Linked DNA regions of Nothobranchius furzeri. The protein of the gene in region 1 purifies or fractionates together with the protein of each later gene. This does not show direct contact. Links are inferred from orthologs where the notes say so. Each region holds a gene or a part of one and is shown in the gene's direction. Other genes may lie near its edges.

The links. The genes of interacting proteins can lie anywhere in the genome.
Region 2: the proteins of fbxw7 (region 1) and mtor purify together in Homo sapiens (affinity purification with western blotting; 9 studies listed by BioGRID and IntAct, with this or other methods). This does not show direct contact. The link is inferred for Nothobranchius furzeri from reciprocal best matches to the Homo sapiens genes FBXW7 and MTOR.

Annotation. Positions count from the first base shown.
Region 1 is NC_091747.1:80,825,010-80,833,786, reverse strand, and holds the start of fbxw7 (F-box/WD repeat-containing protein 7), read left to right. Parts: upstream 1-3,945; 5' UTR 3,946-5,956; coding exon 5,957-6,109; intron 6,110-8,777. UniProt on the Homo sapiens protein: Substrate recognition component of a SCF (SKP1-CUL1-F-box protein) E3 ubiquitin-protein ligase complex which mediates the ubiquitination and subsequent proteasomal degradation of target proteins.
Region 2 is NC_091755.1:52,495,629-52,503,726, reverse strand, and holds part of mtor (serine/threonine-protein kinase mTOR), read left to right. Parts: intron 1-1,091; coding exon 1,092-1,301; intron 1,302-1,893; coding exon 1,894-2,099; intron 2,100-2,332; coding exon 2,333-2,455; intron 2,456-2,621; coding exon 2,622-2,705; intron 2,706-3,335; coding exon 3,336-3,428; intron 3,429-3,597; coding exon 3,598-3,732; intron 3,733-5,286; coding exon 5,287-5,416; intron 5,417-8,098. UniProt on the Homo sapiens protein: Serine/threonine protein kinase which is a central regulator of cellular metabolism, growth and survival in response to hormones, growth factors, nutrients, energy and stress signals.

The DNA of each region.
Region 1 (8,777 bases):
ACATATACATATTCAGCACACGTAAGTGATTCATGCTGCATGCACTTCAGGTGTTTCCTGTATACTTGGTGTTCAGAGCTGTGTGTGTGTGTGTGTGTGTGTGTGTGTGTGTGTGTGTGTGTTTGGGGGGGGGTCCTTAAAGCCTAAGTGTGTGGTGTAAGTTGTGAATAATTAATTCGAGGCACGCGTTGGTGAATTAAAGGTAAAGTAATAGCACACCGCCCTACCTTCTCTGGCTTGCTGCTGCATTTTTAAACATGTGAATGGGCACTCAAATGTCTAAATGTTAACCTTGTTTTTTTCCTTTAAATCTCTAACTCGGTCTCAGGGTCCGGAAAGGGGACATTTGATAGGGAGTTTGAATAATTCAGGATGATGGTTTGGGGGAGTTTGTTTTCATCTAAGTGCAACTTAGATGCATCTCTTTTTGTTCTGGAGACGAACGTCTGATATGACGATGACTGACAGAACTGTTTTACTGTTTAGGATTCAAAGCTGCAGGTTAATGACAGTGGCTGCTATAATCTGACTTTAGTAAATGATTCTTTATTGTTCTATTTCAATTGGTTTCATTATAAGAACAAATGACCCAGTCTTTTGTAGAACTGTTTCCTTATTGTCGACTCAAGATTCTTCTTCTTTAAGTTCTTAGAAAAGGTTTTCAAGCAAAAATAGCATTTTTCTTTATTGTATCACACTAATAGAGGATCTGCATTGCTGTCACTTTCTGAAAAGTGCTGTAAGATTAAATTAGAAACTGCTTTCTAAGCAGAGTGTTGAAAATGACAGAGATTTAGTTATTCTCTGTCTCTCCCTGATCACTCCCCCACCTCTCACCCACGCGTTCCCTGTAAATAATTCAGAACAGCAGGTTTCACAGAATTGATGCTGGATGGAGACAGGATGGGAAACTGTTATAACATGTCCAATAGCTTTAAATTGTTCTATATACCCATCATGTTCTCAGCCTAAAGCCTGAATAAGGGTTAAGATGAAGAATCAGAGAAGGTAATCATTATTTATGGTTAGCGACTCTCAGAGGGTTTACATCATATTTTACTTATTGGAGAAATTGTACGTACACCCAATCAGCAAGACAAACATCATAGCTACTGAAACATTGTCATTAAACATCTTTCATGTGTTGCAAACAACCTGAAACCCTACCTGAGGAATCCCGGCCTTCTGCATAATGATCCGAGTCTCGTGTCCTTACCTCAAAGCTTTTCCAACTCTTTATGGAATTCAGATGTAAAAAAAAACATGTCACAAAATTTATCAGCCTTGTTTCCATTAAAATCTGTTTCTTAACTGAAGAACAGCCAAGATGCAACCTTAACATGACATAATGTCGTTCCTGCTTTAGAGATAATCCAATCAAAGCTCATTTTTGACAGCACCTTTGTCAGATAGACTCTCGTAGCTCTACTAGTATTTTTTAAAGCATATTTGAGAAATTATGTAAATCGTTTAGTTGTATTTCACCATAAATATGTATTTAATATATATTTTTTATTTTCACATTATAATCACATTCTTTTCTAAATGTATCCAATTTAATATCATGTTATGTATATTTGCTGCTTGTGTTTTATGTAAACATGATGTTTTCAGCTTCTGGTTGCCTTGCTGGAGTTTGCAGCCTTTGCCCACTAGAGTGCAGCCTTCTCAGAGAAACATCTGTCCACAGCTCGTGTGTGTGTGGTGTTTTTTAAAGTATTATTTATTTTGTTGACACTTTGTCTTGACTAAACACGTTTGAACAGTAGCAGGACAAATAATCAACATAAACAAAGAGCAAATTTGACTTGAGTATTTTGTTCTTCAGCTTTTCATTGTTTGGATTTTAATCCTCATTAATGACTGGATTTAAAACCATTTGATGCACTTATTGGTTTTAAGAGATGGTTTTGCTTTTGTGCAGATGAATTACCCCGTGGGCATATTTTATGTAAGGATAAACGACCCCTCCCCTCAGATTTTACATCCTGAGTTTGTTACCAGGGGGGAAAAAAACAATAAAACCTTTAATTTCGAGTAAATAAAAAATCCACACAAAAACAGGTAACGTTTTTATGATGATGATGATGATGATGATGATGATAATGAAAATAGTAATAGCATTGATTTTCAGTCTACCTGTTTGCCGAGGTGTCACTGCCCCCTCCAGCTGCAGCCGGGTCTTCCTGTGAGACCCGGTGCCGCGGTGCAGCGAGTCTCTGCTTTATGGATCAATACTGAAGCAGTGAGCTGACACAGTGAAAAGCGATATTCATACATAATTAATAGGGCGCTGTTTCACCCTGCTTTGTCTTTAAGTCCTGGGCAAGAAAAGAACAAACCTGTAAACAAGCACAGAAGAAACATCCAGTCGTCCGCTGCTCTTTAAACTGTTGCTTGGTGTAAGAGATGGGAAGCAGATGCTACCAAGCCATTTACTTTATACTGTAAGACATATTTATATGTTATTTTCAGTTTTAGGAGTATGTCTCTGTTTTGTTGTTTTCATTTCTCTGCTCATGTGGAACGTGTTCCGGGAGATGACATCCCAACGTTTCAGTCGATTTCAGGCACAGAATCACAGCGAGCGGCTTCCTGAAGCATCACTTCCATCAGCAGCACAAAGATGTCAGCAAACAGCAGCAATTATGCTTTTCACAACCTATGTGCTGGGTGAAACTGGCTGTTAGTCTCTGAAGGTTTTCATCTATTGAATAGAGAATATTGTCAGTTTATTATTGTCTTTGTGAGGTGACTTGAGCAAGTCCAGAGCTGTTGGGTTTGTTGTACTCACAGCTTTTTCTTTCCATACATTTAGAGTTTAACCTGCTCAGTCTGTATTTAAAATAAACAACCAGAAGTTTTCTAAAGTGACAGATGTGAACGTAGGCTGTACACAAACCGAGTTAGCAGACAGATAAAGGAGTGATGAGAGGTAGGAGTCTGGATGAAGGTCTTTGAGCTTTCATAAACCCAACACACACAACAAAGATCTGTGATTCAAAGGTAAATAGTTGTGCGGAAGTCTGCAGCTATTGTTCTCATCAGTGCATGGCAATAAATGATAAAGTGCAAGTGAAACAGTCTGTTGCTTTCAAATATTCTGATCTATCGTTCAGGGTCTGTTAGGCGAATAAATGTTCACGTGTATCTTTCTCAAAATATGAAACAAATCCCAAGTTTATCAGGTGGAACGGAGAAGGGGAATTCTATTTAAAAAGAAATGTGGATTTTAATTTCCCCATTGTATTTATTTGCCATTAAAATGACAGATTGGTGAGATGTTGAAACGACTCAGATGCTGCGAGGCTCAAATGAAATGAGCCGACTTTATGTTCAGGTTTCACACTTGGCTTCAGTGAAGCTCCACCTACACCCCCTCAGATAACGCATGCCTACAACAGCATCTTAGGCAAGCTGGTTACTGTGTTGGCTATGGGGTCGGCAGTAATTTATGTAGCCAGCTGAAGCAGATTTCATCTTTTTATGTTTTAGCATTATTGATTATTTTTAGCAAAATATTTAGCGTCTCTTAAAGACGTTAGAATTTGGTCCAAGCAGCATTTTAATTGATTTACTCTGCTCACCTCACATGGACTCACACTGGCTAAATAAAGAAAGCAAAGAACACATATTAGTCCTTATATTTTCAACAGTTTACCAATAAAGGGTTGAAAACATCATACTGGCAAGTGTTGATACTGGGACGTGAACCTGCACAAAACTACATCCCAGCCCAGCCCAGCCCAGCCCAGCCCAGCACAGCCCAGCCCAGCCCAGCCCAGCCCAGCACAGCACAGCCCAGCCCAGCCCAGCACAGCACAGCCCAGCCCAGCCCAGCACAGCCCAGCCCAGCCCAGCCCAGCCCAGCCCAGCACAGCACAGCACAGCCCAGCACAGCACAGCACAGCCCAGCCCAGCCCAGCCCAGCCCAGCCCAGCACAGCACAGCCCAGCACAGCCCAGCCCAGCCCAGCCCAGCACACTTGGCACTAGACTACCAAGTCTGTTGCATAACACTTGTTGCCTAAGCTGGCCAAGGGAGACCGGTTTCAGACCGGAGACTGGCTTCTGAGGGAGGAGCAGGTCCTGATGTTTGGAGCAGGAAGAAGGAGTGACGTACAACTTATACATGTGGCCATTTCACGAATTTCACTATAAAATTCAAAATTTGCAGCTGAAACAGAAAAAGGCATGAATGCAGGCAACCCTGCCAACAATGGGTTTGGGGATATTTTTCATGAGAAAGCAACAGTGTTACATACTAAAAAGCTCCAACAAATGGATTTTCCATTATATGACCCCTTTAAGCACCAACAAGAAATGCACCCTCAAAAGACTGATTTAAGAAGGGCTGCTGATTTGATTGGATGCCTGGTGAATGAGCATTAGATTGGTGTTATTATAGAAACTCACCTACTCAGGTCAAAGCACTGAGGTGTCTTTTGAATAGTTTCCTAGTTAAATAGACATTAGATCTTTTCTGGTGTTTTATTTCTGTCCAGCTGGTTTTCTGACATCACTCAGCCAGATCCTTATGCACAAATATGGTTACGTCTGGTTTTCTGCAGACCAACGATGTTGAAGGCTTTTTGCCAAACTCCGAGCTTCAGATTGGTAGTTCATGAGTCAGAGCTTGACGTCATGTAACTTGACCACTTCATCCAGTCTATTCATTTCCATTTTCTCCTTTTTCTGTCTCCTTGGATTAGACATGATGACAGGCGTTGATTTTGGTTTAGTCATTCAGCAATGTTGGGTTTGCTATTAATAGCCAGCGGTTGCTGTTAGTTTTACAGTAGACTCTTTCTCAGTCTATCATCCTTCCATCTTTCTCTTCCCACCACTGCTGCTCCTCCTACTTGCCTTCTCTTCTTAAAGCTTCCTGACTTCATCAGCTGTGGTAACCATTAGCTTTTGTGCTGAGTAATGTTCATTTTTCCTTCTCCAGTCTGAACATCCGTGGAGAGATGACCAAGAATGCTCGGGGTTACTCAGATAGGATAAAAGAAATATTCCTTATTTGAATTTGCTAACAGAAACTATACATGTCTGATCTAATGTCGCTGATGCTAAATCACTGCATTGACATCTAATTGCAGTTTTTCTGATTGGCTTTTTAGTTTGTCTTAATCAGTTGGAAAAACTGTCACCTTCTGAAGATTTTCTCCTTTTCAAAGCATCTTTTCAGTTAAAACATCATTGCAGTAATCAGCAGTGCATTCAGACCCCTGTGACAGATTATTACCATAATACTCCCGTCTCCTGAATGCTTACCCAGAACCCCTCCCCCATACTGGATCCTCACTACTTATCAGTCCTTCTAGTGTGCACAGAGTGGCTTGAATTTCTTGTAATAATCTGTCCACGGCTTCCTCAATTAACTGAGCAACCAGGAGCTCAGATTTCACACAGGAAAAAGCACTTTTATCTGCAACTTGGAGGAGTTCAGGCTGAGTGGTTTACCTCTGGTGGTGGTGGGGGGTACAGTGGTGGCAGCAGCACTCACAGGGATAGCTTCCTCAGAGCACAACAGTCAGAGGCAGCGGAGGGAGCAGGAGGAGACAGATGGAGATGGTGTGAGACAGGGAGCGAGTGGTGGCAGACGCTGTGTTCTGTGTAGCAATCAAAGGAAGGTGTTTAGTGGACGGAAGTGAGTTTGGCAGCAGTGGGGGTGTTACAGCAGAAGGCACTGCTTTAAGACAGTCGTGTGGTAAAAGGAGTAGAGAAAGTGATCATGAGGGGAAATGGACTGACAAATTATAGTTCTGAACTCAAGCACCTCCACCAAGGTGAGCATCTGCATGTGTGCTCTCTGTAGCACAAACCTGAGCCCAGTCTGTGACGGAATACCTGTGGATCGGCACCATGTGGATTACAGCCCAGCTCTGAGGACCAGGAAGTAGCTGCGTCGTTTTCTCCACACATCTTCTTACCTCAGAACAGCCAGGTTCCTAATGAGCAAGTCGATGTGTGGCTGTGGCTGCAGCATCATCTCCTCCCTGATGAAGAGACTGGGCCGCACAGCTTGCTGCTCAGATCTCCTCTCCTGCAGCCACACTTCAGAGCAGCTGCAGCGCCTGGCCACCGGCTGTCCGCCTCGACCAAAGGTAACAGCGTGCCGCTCCCAGTCGCACGGCTGCCTCAGCGCGGCAGAATTGTTATTTATGTGCAACACAAGAGCCACGCGGTGCATGATAGCATATCGCAGAAAGCACTGGCCTTAAAGTACAGTGTTCCGCTTTGTTTGGCTGTCTAAAGATTTTTCAGGTAAATAACTGCACACACAGGAGGGAAGAGCTGTAATTGATTCTTTAATGGAGCCAGGTGATTTAGTAACAGTCTAGCTGCCTCGACAACATGCTCTCAGTTTGAACTTCCCTTTAAATGATGCCTTCACACTGCTTGTGGTTGTCCGCTCCGCCTCAACTACAGAAAAAGCTTTATCCGATGGAGCAAATGAAAACAAACATTTTGTGAGTGCCGAGTCCTCGTGTGCATGTGCTGGTGTATAAATGAGAGTCTGACTGGCTTCCGTCTCACAGCCTCCAGACTTCCTCTTGCTTTGTTGCATTTTGTGCACGACTGTTTCGGCTGGCGCTGAATAGAATTTAGACTCTTCAGAGTCTCTTCTGGCAGTTTGCCTTTCTGGTTCGAAAACCCTCCTGAGTAATGATTACAATCCACAGAGGAAAATGTTGCATTATTGAGCTGTTGCATGGCAACAATCCAAAGGAAAATGGATAATGAGTGACAGTTCTAGAGGAGGAGTATTGGTCACAGACGAATTCCCTCATTTTACTTCTGCTGCACACAAAAATAATGTTTTGGTGTGGGTAAATGTGGAAAAATATTGTCCCTCTGTGAAGCAATTTCAGCTCTTCCCTTGATGCATCACAGGACACCGGCTCAAAATAGAACCATCAGTTAATGGCTCTTATGTTGAACTGAAGCCACGAATGTTCCGACTAACTTTGTGTTCAGATTTGGGAAGAATAATAGAAAAATGTTAGAAAGCTCACTTTTAAGATGCTGGAAAATACTCAGCCGTTGGAATATTTTATTCTTGTAATGATTTACCACCACTATGCCTCCCACTGGTAATATTGTGGAAGTGATGTAGAGCTTTTGTGCGTCTGCTGTCCACTACATTGTAAACTACTGTACTCACTGATTTTCAGCTCTCTCCAACTGTTCTGAGGTCACTCTGATGACTTCTAGCATGTTTGCCATATCCAGTATCCTCCTGTATATCAGGTTTTGTCCATTTCAAAGTGAGACATGTTCACAGTGATTATCTGAAGCTTGAGCAGCATCGTTATTAAAGCTAAAGATGATGGAACCACTAGACCTCTGTGTTTGAGTGATCTAGAATGGTAGGGGTGTGTACTGGCAAACATCTGGCGATTCAATGATACGATATATAATAATTATAAATTATACAATAATTATATAAAACTTTAATAATTGTGATACTAAAAGCAAGATTATTTATAGAATAGAATAGAATAGAATAGAGGCTGAAGAGTCCAAAATTCCCACAGAAGGAATGCTGACAAATGCTTTGAAATCCCTCCCCCAATCCTGGTTGAAACTGTGACGCGCTCGGTTGGCCTCTGGGTGATCTGGGTGAGACCACAGACTCTTCAGGGACTCGATGCACTCTCCATTCCTCGAATCTTCTCCACACCTCTGAGCATTGGGGATTGAAGTGCGGATGCTGCATGCTCTCGTCTGTTTGGGGGATCCCAGCCCCTCCCCCCACCCAGCGGACATGTTGTTACTGTCCGAGTTTGTGCTTTAGAGTTTTGGTGTGTTTTTTCCTGCAAGCCATTTCTGGATCCTGCAGGGAACAGAGTAGGGACCATGTTTTCTTCTCCTTGTCCCTCCCCACTCTTGTGTGACCCCTGTTTCCTTACCTCGAAAATGGTTGTACTGAAACTACACCTCATTGTATTTGGAGATGGGTTCGATGACATTAAACTTCTATTAACATGAAAAATCATGATATCTATTACAGATTAGCCGACTGATTAATGGAAACAAATTTACAAAAATGTAACTAAAATAGAAATAAAATTACATAAATATGTTGGCAAATTTCCTAAAAAAAATGAGGGAAAGCAAAAAAACAAATTCCAATTTAACTCATTCACTGCCATTGACGACTTAAGTCGTCATTTGCATTTTTTTTACTGTGTGGGCATCGGAACGAGCCCCCGCACCATGAGAACAAACATCCCAGCTCTAAAACTGATCTTCATCCACATACGTCACACATCACGTGATCAGGAAGCATGTGTTAGGAGATCGTTTTGGGCCGCTGCTGTAACAAAGTGAGGCGCGAAGCTGAAAAGCTTCTGCTGATCACAATTCAACAACGGATTTTAAAAGAACGGATAACACTCGAAACGCCACCTCTTACTGATGTAAGAGGTGGGTCGCTTCTTTGTTTTGGTAGTGTTGGCGTTGACATCATCCTAGCGCGCAACGTTTTTGACTCTTAAAAAAACAGTAAACATGCTGAGAAGCGCTGGCAGCGAATGGCTTAAAGTCAAGGTCGAGTGTCTTTAAATGAAAACAAAAGGGTCTAAGTGGAAGAGAATGAAATCTCGTAGTGCAAGGTGACGATGTCCACATATGTGGACACAGGGCCCTAGGACGTTAAAGCAACACTAAAGAGTTTCTCCGCTTCTTTGTCCTAATGGTTGAAAGTGGAATTACAACCGTTTTAAGAGGTGTTCCCATCACGTATTTTTGCTCCAGATCCGATTCCGA
Region 2 (8,098 bases), on another chromosome or scaffold:
CAGGCAGGGTTAAATCAACCCTCATGCGCGATTTCATAAATAACTTTTGAAACTATTCAGTATTTTTGTGCTGCAATAAATGTTCTGCAGAGCTAAAGTCAAAAAATCAAATGCTTACCAACGGGCTCCCCAAGTGCGGTCGCTGAGTCCCAGCCTGCCTCGCTGCCTCGGTTTGCCGGTCTGTGGCATCCAGCGCGTCGTAGCGTCTCTGTTGGGCTGAGCGAAATGTCCTGAAATCAATAACACGATATATTGAGGATTTCCCCTCGATAACGATAAATGGACAATTACTACAGGTATGCGCAGAAACTAAAGTTATCCACTAGATGGGGCTGTCACGTGTATTACGTTCAGCCACATTTGTACGTGACTCAATGTGGTACAGCTTCTTAAAGGGACATGAACGTTGCCAACCTACACAGCTTTTCATTTTTTTCACTATCAAATTTATTGACATGGGAAAATTAATCTCGATAAAAGTCAGAAATTTCGATAACGATGAATTTTCGATTTATTGCCCAGCCCTAATCTCTGTGTATTTCTCCCATTTCCACTCCGGCTGTTTCTGTTCCTAACTTTTCTACATTAAGCTTTAATTTCTTCAGCTTGGCCCGACACCGTTCCGACATTCACGCAAATCCTTCGGCTGCCATCCGCTGAGAAACCTGCAATCCTTACCGATCCACCTAGCTCTTCCATAGCGTAGACTCTCACGATGATGGAGAGGAATGTATGGAGCTCTCAAGCCGCTTGCTGGAATTTCTCACATTCGTGTACAACTAATGAAAATACAAATAACGAAACTCTGAGGTTTGTTTTGCTTGTTGCAAGTAGTGACACATTTTTGCTCTCCAATCAGTGGACTGTATTGTTGCTCCACATTAGCTGTACAAAATTCTGTGCCTACAGCAGAAGGAGGCAAATGTCCTGTGACTGGCGTGGTCTGGGTCATCGGGACAGTGAAACTAGCAAACCAACCCTCCCTGTTCCGTGCCAGTTTGGTGGTGGAACTGGGCTCAGAGAACCACACAGCAAAGCGCTGACGGTTGCTTTCTTCCTCGCTAACACAACGTTTAAACTTTATTCGCCAGGACACTCCCTGACCCAGTTTGTGCGCCACTGTGCCGATCACTTCCTGAACAGTGAACACAAAGAGATCCGAATGGAAGCTGCCCGGACCTGCTCACGTCTCCTCACGCCCTCCATCCATCTGATCAGTGGCCATGTGGTCAGTCAAACCGCTGTTCAGGTTGTTGCAGATGTGCTCAGCAAGCTGTTGGTCGTGGGCATCACCGATCCAGGTAAAGTTGTCAAGATTTTGGGATCGTACTGATCTCAGACTCACTCGCCTTCATGACTCGGGCTGAATGCCTGTCTTTGCCTGTTTTTAAGTCTTGTTTAAAGACCCACTTTTATGACTTGGCTTTTAGACAGTGTCTCATTTTATCGTTTTATTGTTTTTAGTGTTGTGTTTTATTTACTGTTCTTATTGATTTTACCTGCTAGTGACGCCTTGTTTAGCTCCTTATTGCTTTTGTCTTTCTCTGTTTTAATTGACCCTGCCTGTTCAGCACTTTGGTCAGCTCTCACGCTGTATTTTAAATTGTGCCATAGAAATAAAGTTGATACTATATGATATGATATGGTATGACTCAGTGGGGTCGTGGGGAGCTGGTGTCTATCTCCAGCAGCCATCAAGTCAAGTCTCCAGCTAGCCCGACATGCATGATTTTGGCCTTTGGGACAGGAGGGCACAGGAGTACTTGAAGACAACCCACTCATGCAACTGCTGCGAGTTGGACATGCTACTTTCTTGCTGTGCAGCAATAGTGCTGCCAACTGTGCCACCTTGCAGCTGTGATCTCACAGTTTCTCATTTTTGTTTCCCCACAGATCCAGATATCCGATACTGTGTACTTGCTTCCCTCGATGAGCGTTTTGACGCACACCTCGCCCAGGCGGAGAATTTACAGGCCCTGTTTGTTGCCCTGAACGATGAAGTGTTTGAGATACGAGAGCTGGCTATCTGCACAATTGGACGCCTCAGCAGCATGAATCCTGCTTTTGTTATGCCCTTCCTTCGCAAGATGCTAATCCAGGTAGGAGAGGACACAACACAACTTCAAGCTGCTAGACATTTTTAGCCCAGTAGAAGGAAGGTGCTGGTTCTGTGAAATCCGGCCTGCTGTTTAAGTTGGGTACCAGCTGAGGGCAGCAAAGCCCGGATCAAGAAAGATGTTTCTTCATCTTTAGTAACAAATGTCATAATGTGTGCCAGTCTTTGCATTAAAGGGAAATCGAGTGTTCCATGAATATTGTGTTTTATTTTCAGATTTTAACCGAGCTGGAGCACAGCGGTGTTGGGAGGAACAAAGAGCAGAGTGCACGTATGCTTGGTCACTTAGTCTCCAACGCCCCCCGACTCATACGTCCATATATGGAACCCATTCTCAAGGTAAAATTCTGCGACTTTTCCATATACCTATATGACTAAATCACACGTTTGTACTGAGAAAAGCTTTTAAAACCTCTAGATTTCATTTTAAAGTAACTCCCATTTCTGTTCAAGCAATTTTCTATTTTTAACCAGGAAAATAAATAATTTGTTTTTCTGTTTGCAGGCTCTGATTCTCAAGCTTAAAGATCCAGATCCCAACCCTGGAGTGGTGATCAGTGTCCTTGCAACGATCGGAGAGTTGGCTCAGGTAAACCTGTTCATTCTCTCGTCTGGGATATTTGATCTAAATGGTGCTCTTATGTGTGGCGTATTTGTTCTAATGTGCAGTTTTTGCAGCTAAAATAACAAACCTGGATGATAATTTCATTCAGCAGTCATGTTTTGTTGTGTATTGATTAGGGATGCACGAAATATCGGCATCAATATTGTTAGCGGCCAGTGTTAGTCATTTTTAACATATCATCTCGTTTCCATCTGTGTATCAGTTTCAGAGGGTGAGGGGGTGATGATGTGTAATTGTTTAGTCCTGTGCTAATCGTCTCAGGAGCGTAAATGTGTGTGTGTGTGTGTGTGTGTGTGTGTGTGTGTGTGTGTGTGTGTGTGTGTGTGTGTGTGTGTGTGTGTGTGTGTGTGTGTGTGTGTGTGTAATAACATATTGGTATTGGACACATCTTGATATCGGCAAATATCGGTTATTGGCCAGTGATATTATCTGTGTTCACTCTGGTGCATTCCAAGTATTGATGTATAAATGCAGTTCTCTATAACTTTTACCTTATTTTACAGTAATAAAATTTGCTGATTTGAATGATACACATTTGATGACTTTTTGGATTTTTGTCAGTATATTTTTTCTGGGTGTGTTTTAACCTGTCAGGTGAGTGGCCTAGAGATGAGGAAGTGGATGGATGAGCTTTTTCCTATCATCATGGACATGCTGCAGGACTCGTCCTCTTTGGCTAAACGCCAGGTATGAAAGGTGGAATTATTAGTCAGAAGAATATTTATTAGGTCTGAATAATACCATAAAATAAAATTGTTCTGTAGCACTTCACATATTGAATAAATTGATTTACTTCGTATGAAACCGCTTCCTAAATGTAATACCTCTATGGTGGTTATTTTTGGCTCTCCTGCAGGTGGCGCTTTGGACTCTGGGCCAGCAGGTGGCTAGTACTGGCTATGTGGTGGAGCCCTATCGTAAATACCCATCCCTGCTTGAAGTGCTGCTCAATTTTCTCAAGACTGAACAAAACCAGGGCATCAGGAGAGAGGTGTGTGTTGAGGCTGTAGCATGAAATGAATGAATTAACATGAAAATTTGCAGATTAAAGAATATTTGAAGCTTTATTTTGAATAGTTCAAAGAGTCTGAAGTTGTGATCCAGACTTTTCTAGTTTAAAGGTGTCCTAGAATTCAAAACCACATTTTTCTGTTTGAACACAGATGGCTTGAGATGACTCATGTGCCAAAAGTCTGTCGTCTTCGACCTACTTTCTTATGCAAACGAGTAAAGTTGTATTGGCTATAGAGCAACGATTAGTTTAGAGAAAAGCTGGTACAACACGTCATCGGCGTAGACCGGGATGGTAAATCTGATTCTTGAGGGTATCCTTCATGTTTTAGTTGTTTCTCTGCTTCAATGACTTGCTGAACAAGTGTGTTGGAGAAGGGAAACAAATGAAACATGCTGGATTGTGGCCTCCGAGGACTGGAATTTCCCACCCCGGCTTAGAAATCCCCCCTTAAATTTGCATGTCAACCCAGTTCAGTGTTGACGATGTATTGATGTTTGTAGTTGAAATGCTAACTGTAAAACGCTAGCCCGAGCTACTGCTAACCCAAGCCATGCTACTGGTAACGTGCATGTTGGATGAGAGTAACAGTGAAGATTGTCGGAACACAAGTGTAACGTTCCATACTTTGAATTCCAGACAGATCCATAGCTGAGGTATCTGGATACTGTACACTGCTGTACATGGAGTTTCTAGATTCAGGTAGCCATTGGGATAAACTGGCCAATCAGCATGCAGTTCATTTAATATTCATGTCCTGGTTAAGTGGGCAGGGCAAATCAGTCTTTCCATTGTAGGGCTTCATGATGGAGTTGTGTTTGGCCATTTGTCAGGGCTCCTGGGCCATTTTGAGCCTCAACAAAGTTTCATTCTCCTAACAATATAGATGCTCGAAGAACACTTTCCATTAATAATAATAAAAAAAGTTGTTTTAGGACTTCTTTAAAGGCTCTTTCCAGAGTATCTCTCTTATTCGATGGCACCATGTAGTGGCTGACGAGCATATCACACAAATAGTCTCTTGATCCGTTTTTTTTTAAGATGGCGACTTCATGTTTCTTGCTTATTAATGTGCGTCTGTAGCCAACAAATAGAGCTAAAACACATTGTTTACAAGTGTTATTCTCATGTCATGCTGTGTTTTCATATGTTTATATTTTAAAAACTTACTTGTCCATGATAGTTCATCAACTCTGCATCAGCCAAGGTATTACTTAAATTTGAAGCAGGTAAGCAGTAGTCTAACGATATTGGTTAGTTCTGGTTGGTGCTCAGTTTCGTATTGCACAGAGGTCTGTGGGGCAGGGGTGAGCTTAGCAAAAAACAAAAAAAAGATGTATTGTTAACATTATTTCACAGTACATGTTAAGATAATCACTTTTACGGATTTCTGAAAAATCATACGTAATTTCTGAAAGGGGAAAACTCCGGAGAGCTACTTTAATCTTTTGTTACTATAATTCTACAAATAACCCTATGTAGATATGATGAAATAAAGTTAAACTACAAACATTTGTATCTTCCCCACAACAGGCTATTCGTGTTCTTGGTCTCCTTGGAGCTCTGGATCCCTACAAGCACAAGGTGAACATCGGAATGATCGACCAATCCCGTGATGCTTCTGCCGTCAGTCTTTCTGAATCCAAGTCCAGTCAGGACTCGGGTAGGGTTAATTTCTCAATACAAATCTAAAATCTTGAAATTATGGAGTTGCTTGTTTTTAATTCCATCACTTTGGCCTTGATACGTAGATCCACTCTGTTAGTGACACGCCCAAGCTTTAGACTGAGAATTGGGGGAAAAAACACCAATCAAAATGATTTGAAGCTTTGTAAACACAAATTGCACCATGCAATTATGGCATTAAAATAACATAGATATAGTCCCAGAATACTACATTTCTGTAGAAAATCAAGTTAAATTGCTGCCTCCAGTTTTTCTGGTGCTTGTTTTTTAAATCTTGCATAATTAAACTCAGTGTGCTCACAGCAGTTTTGAGTGTTTTGGCTTTTTAACTAAATTCATTAAGTTAATGTCAATAAAATCTAATTAGAATGCAAGAAATGAGAACCCCCCTCAGGATAGTCGGTAAATGGAGCTAATTCTTCTCTGGAATGTCAGAAAATCATATCAGAAGAAAGGCGCTCGCCGAGGTGATTTAATAAGAAACGGTGGAATGTATTAGGGAAGCAGTAATGGGAATATGACATTTTTGTCACTTTCATCCACCTGATTTAGCGGAGATTAAAGGGAAATTGTTAAAGTGAAATGTAAAGATGGTTGATGAGGCACAATAGTGAGTAGGTGATGGCTTTTTATTTTAACCACCAAAGTTTTTTTTTTCTTAAATGTCAAAAGTATTTGAAGTTGTAGAAACCCATGAAGTCTTATCTGTCCAAAACCACGTACTTACAGTTTGGCTGACGCACGTTTTCTCAATCTGCAGCTGATTAGAAATCAGAGAGCAGCGATCTGAAGTGCAGTCAAGACATAAACACATGTTTGAAAAGTTCATAATTAAGACTGGAGCAGCAGTTTGGGTAAACTTTGCTTCATTAAATTTTCATTTCTGGCTTCTGCTTGATGTGAAGTGAATGTCCTCCGGTGTGAAGCGCTTCCAGTTTGGGGTAAAATGTTCTTGCCTCAAAGAGGAGATGTGTGATTTTTTTAGGCGATTCACCTGTTTTATCATCTGTTAGTGATTTACTTCCGTTTTGTGCGTAACTGTTGAAGTTTATATAGGTTTACATCTGTCATCTATAAACTGAGCTATTGCCGTTTAGGGCTACTGGGTCAAAATGTGTTGGTTATTATAGATAATGAGGGGGAACTTAAACTGTGTCAGACTTTGAATTTCATCTGTAGTGTTGTTCATACCAGGGCTAATTCTGTTGAATTCTTGTTGATTCATACCTAAATATAAATGTTATTAGTGGAAATTCAATATTTAATAATTAATGCAAGTCAACGGGGCCAAAAACGCTATTTTCTAATTCAGCTTGTTATGTTCCATGGATTTCACATATGATGTCTGTGAATTTTAAAGAAGCTTTTTAATACCAAGAACGCCCTTATTGTCCGGGGGGGGGGGTATTTTAGGTTTTGTGTGAAAATAAGGCAAGGACTACAAATGTGCCTCACACAAACCAGACATGGAGAATACTGATGGAAAATGGCTGTAGGTTCAGCAAACTTCAAATCCTTCCCACGGGAGGAAAGAACCGCCATAAATCTGGCCATTTGGTAAGTAGCAGCTACACTGGGGGGGGACTATGTGGTGACGTCACATATGCGACGTGCTGCCGATGTAGTCATGCTGATTATGAATGTTTACAAGCTGATAAATCTCAATGTACCTTACTGACATGGTTGAAACACCCATCATTACTCTTCATTTAAATTGCAGTACAACATATATATGTGTGATCCGGGGCGTAAGGCAAAGCAGATTAGAAGATGGCTCTTTTAGCCCCGTTGACTTGCATTCTTTTTCCTTTTTTTCCGTAACCGATGAGTCGACCAGAAAGGGGGGAGACGTAGGCTTCATGTGTGCGTGTTTGTTAGAGAAACAATCTATTATAGGTATCATTTACATGTTTTTTTATATTTCATATGAATAAATGCCTTGAGAGTTGTTTTCTGTGTGAAAAAAAGCTTTGGCACTTCTGTTTGAGTGGGTTGAAGTTTATCGCAGGAGGGAAATAACAGAACTATGAGTCTTTCTCATTAATATTTATGATATGCAAATTTATCAACATTGATTTGCTAACAGCAACACGACTCTTCTGCTGCCGTCGTTAAACTAAAACAACTACAAAGCATGTTTTTTTTGTAGGTCTGTATTGGCAAGAATCTATATATACAATCTATATACAGGGTTTCCCTTACATAGGCGTAGCCGTGGCGGGCCGCCACGGCTGAAATCCCACCGCCACGCCTACAACATCCCAAGTTTTATTGATGTTTTTTTTTTTTTTTTTTGCGCCGTTTCCCGAAGAAGCAGCAGGAACTACTGTGTCGTTGCTTGTGATCACAGCCGGCAGGTAGCAAGGAGGAGGAGGCACGGCAGGGTGGTTACAGCTATGAGCGTACGGATAAAGCATTTTCGACGAATACGAGCAAGAAACGAGTGTAAAACTCGGAAATATCTATAATCGTGCTGAATGAAATTCTCATTGGGTAACTGACTGTCTTCACGCTCTGTGATTGGCCAGTCAGATAGAGCGCCCGCCCCTCCCTACACGCAAAACTGCAGCCGGGAGCTCCGTCAGCTCGGCCCAGGCATCAACGCACACACACAGACAATGAGCGGAGTTGATGCAGGATTGCGAATGCGCCGTGAGCG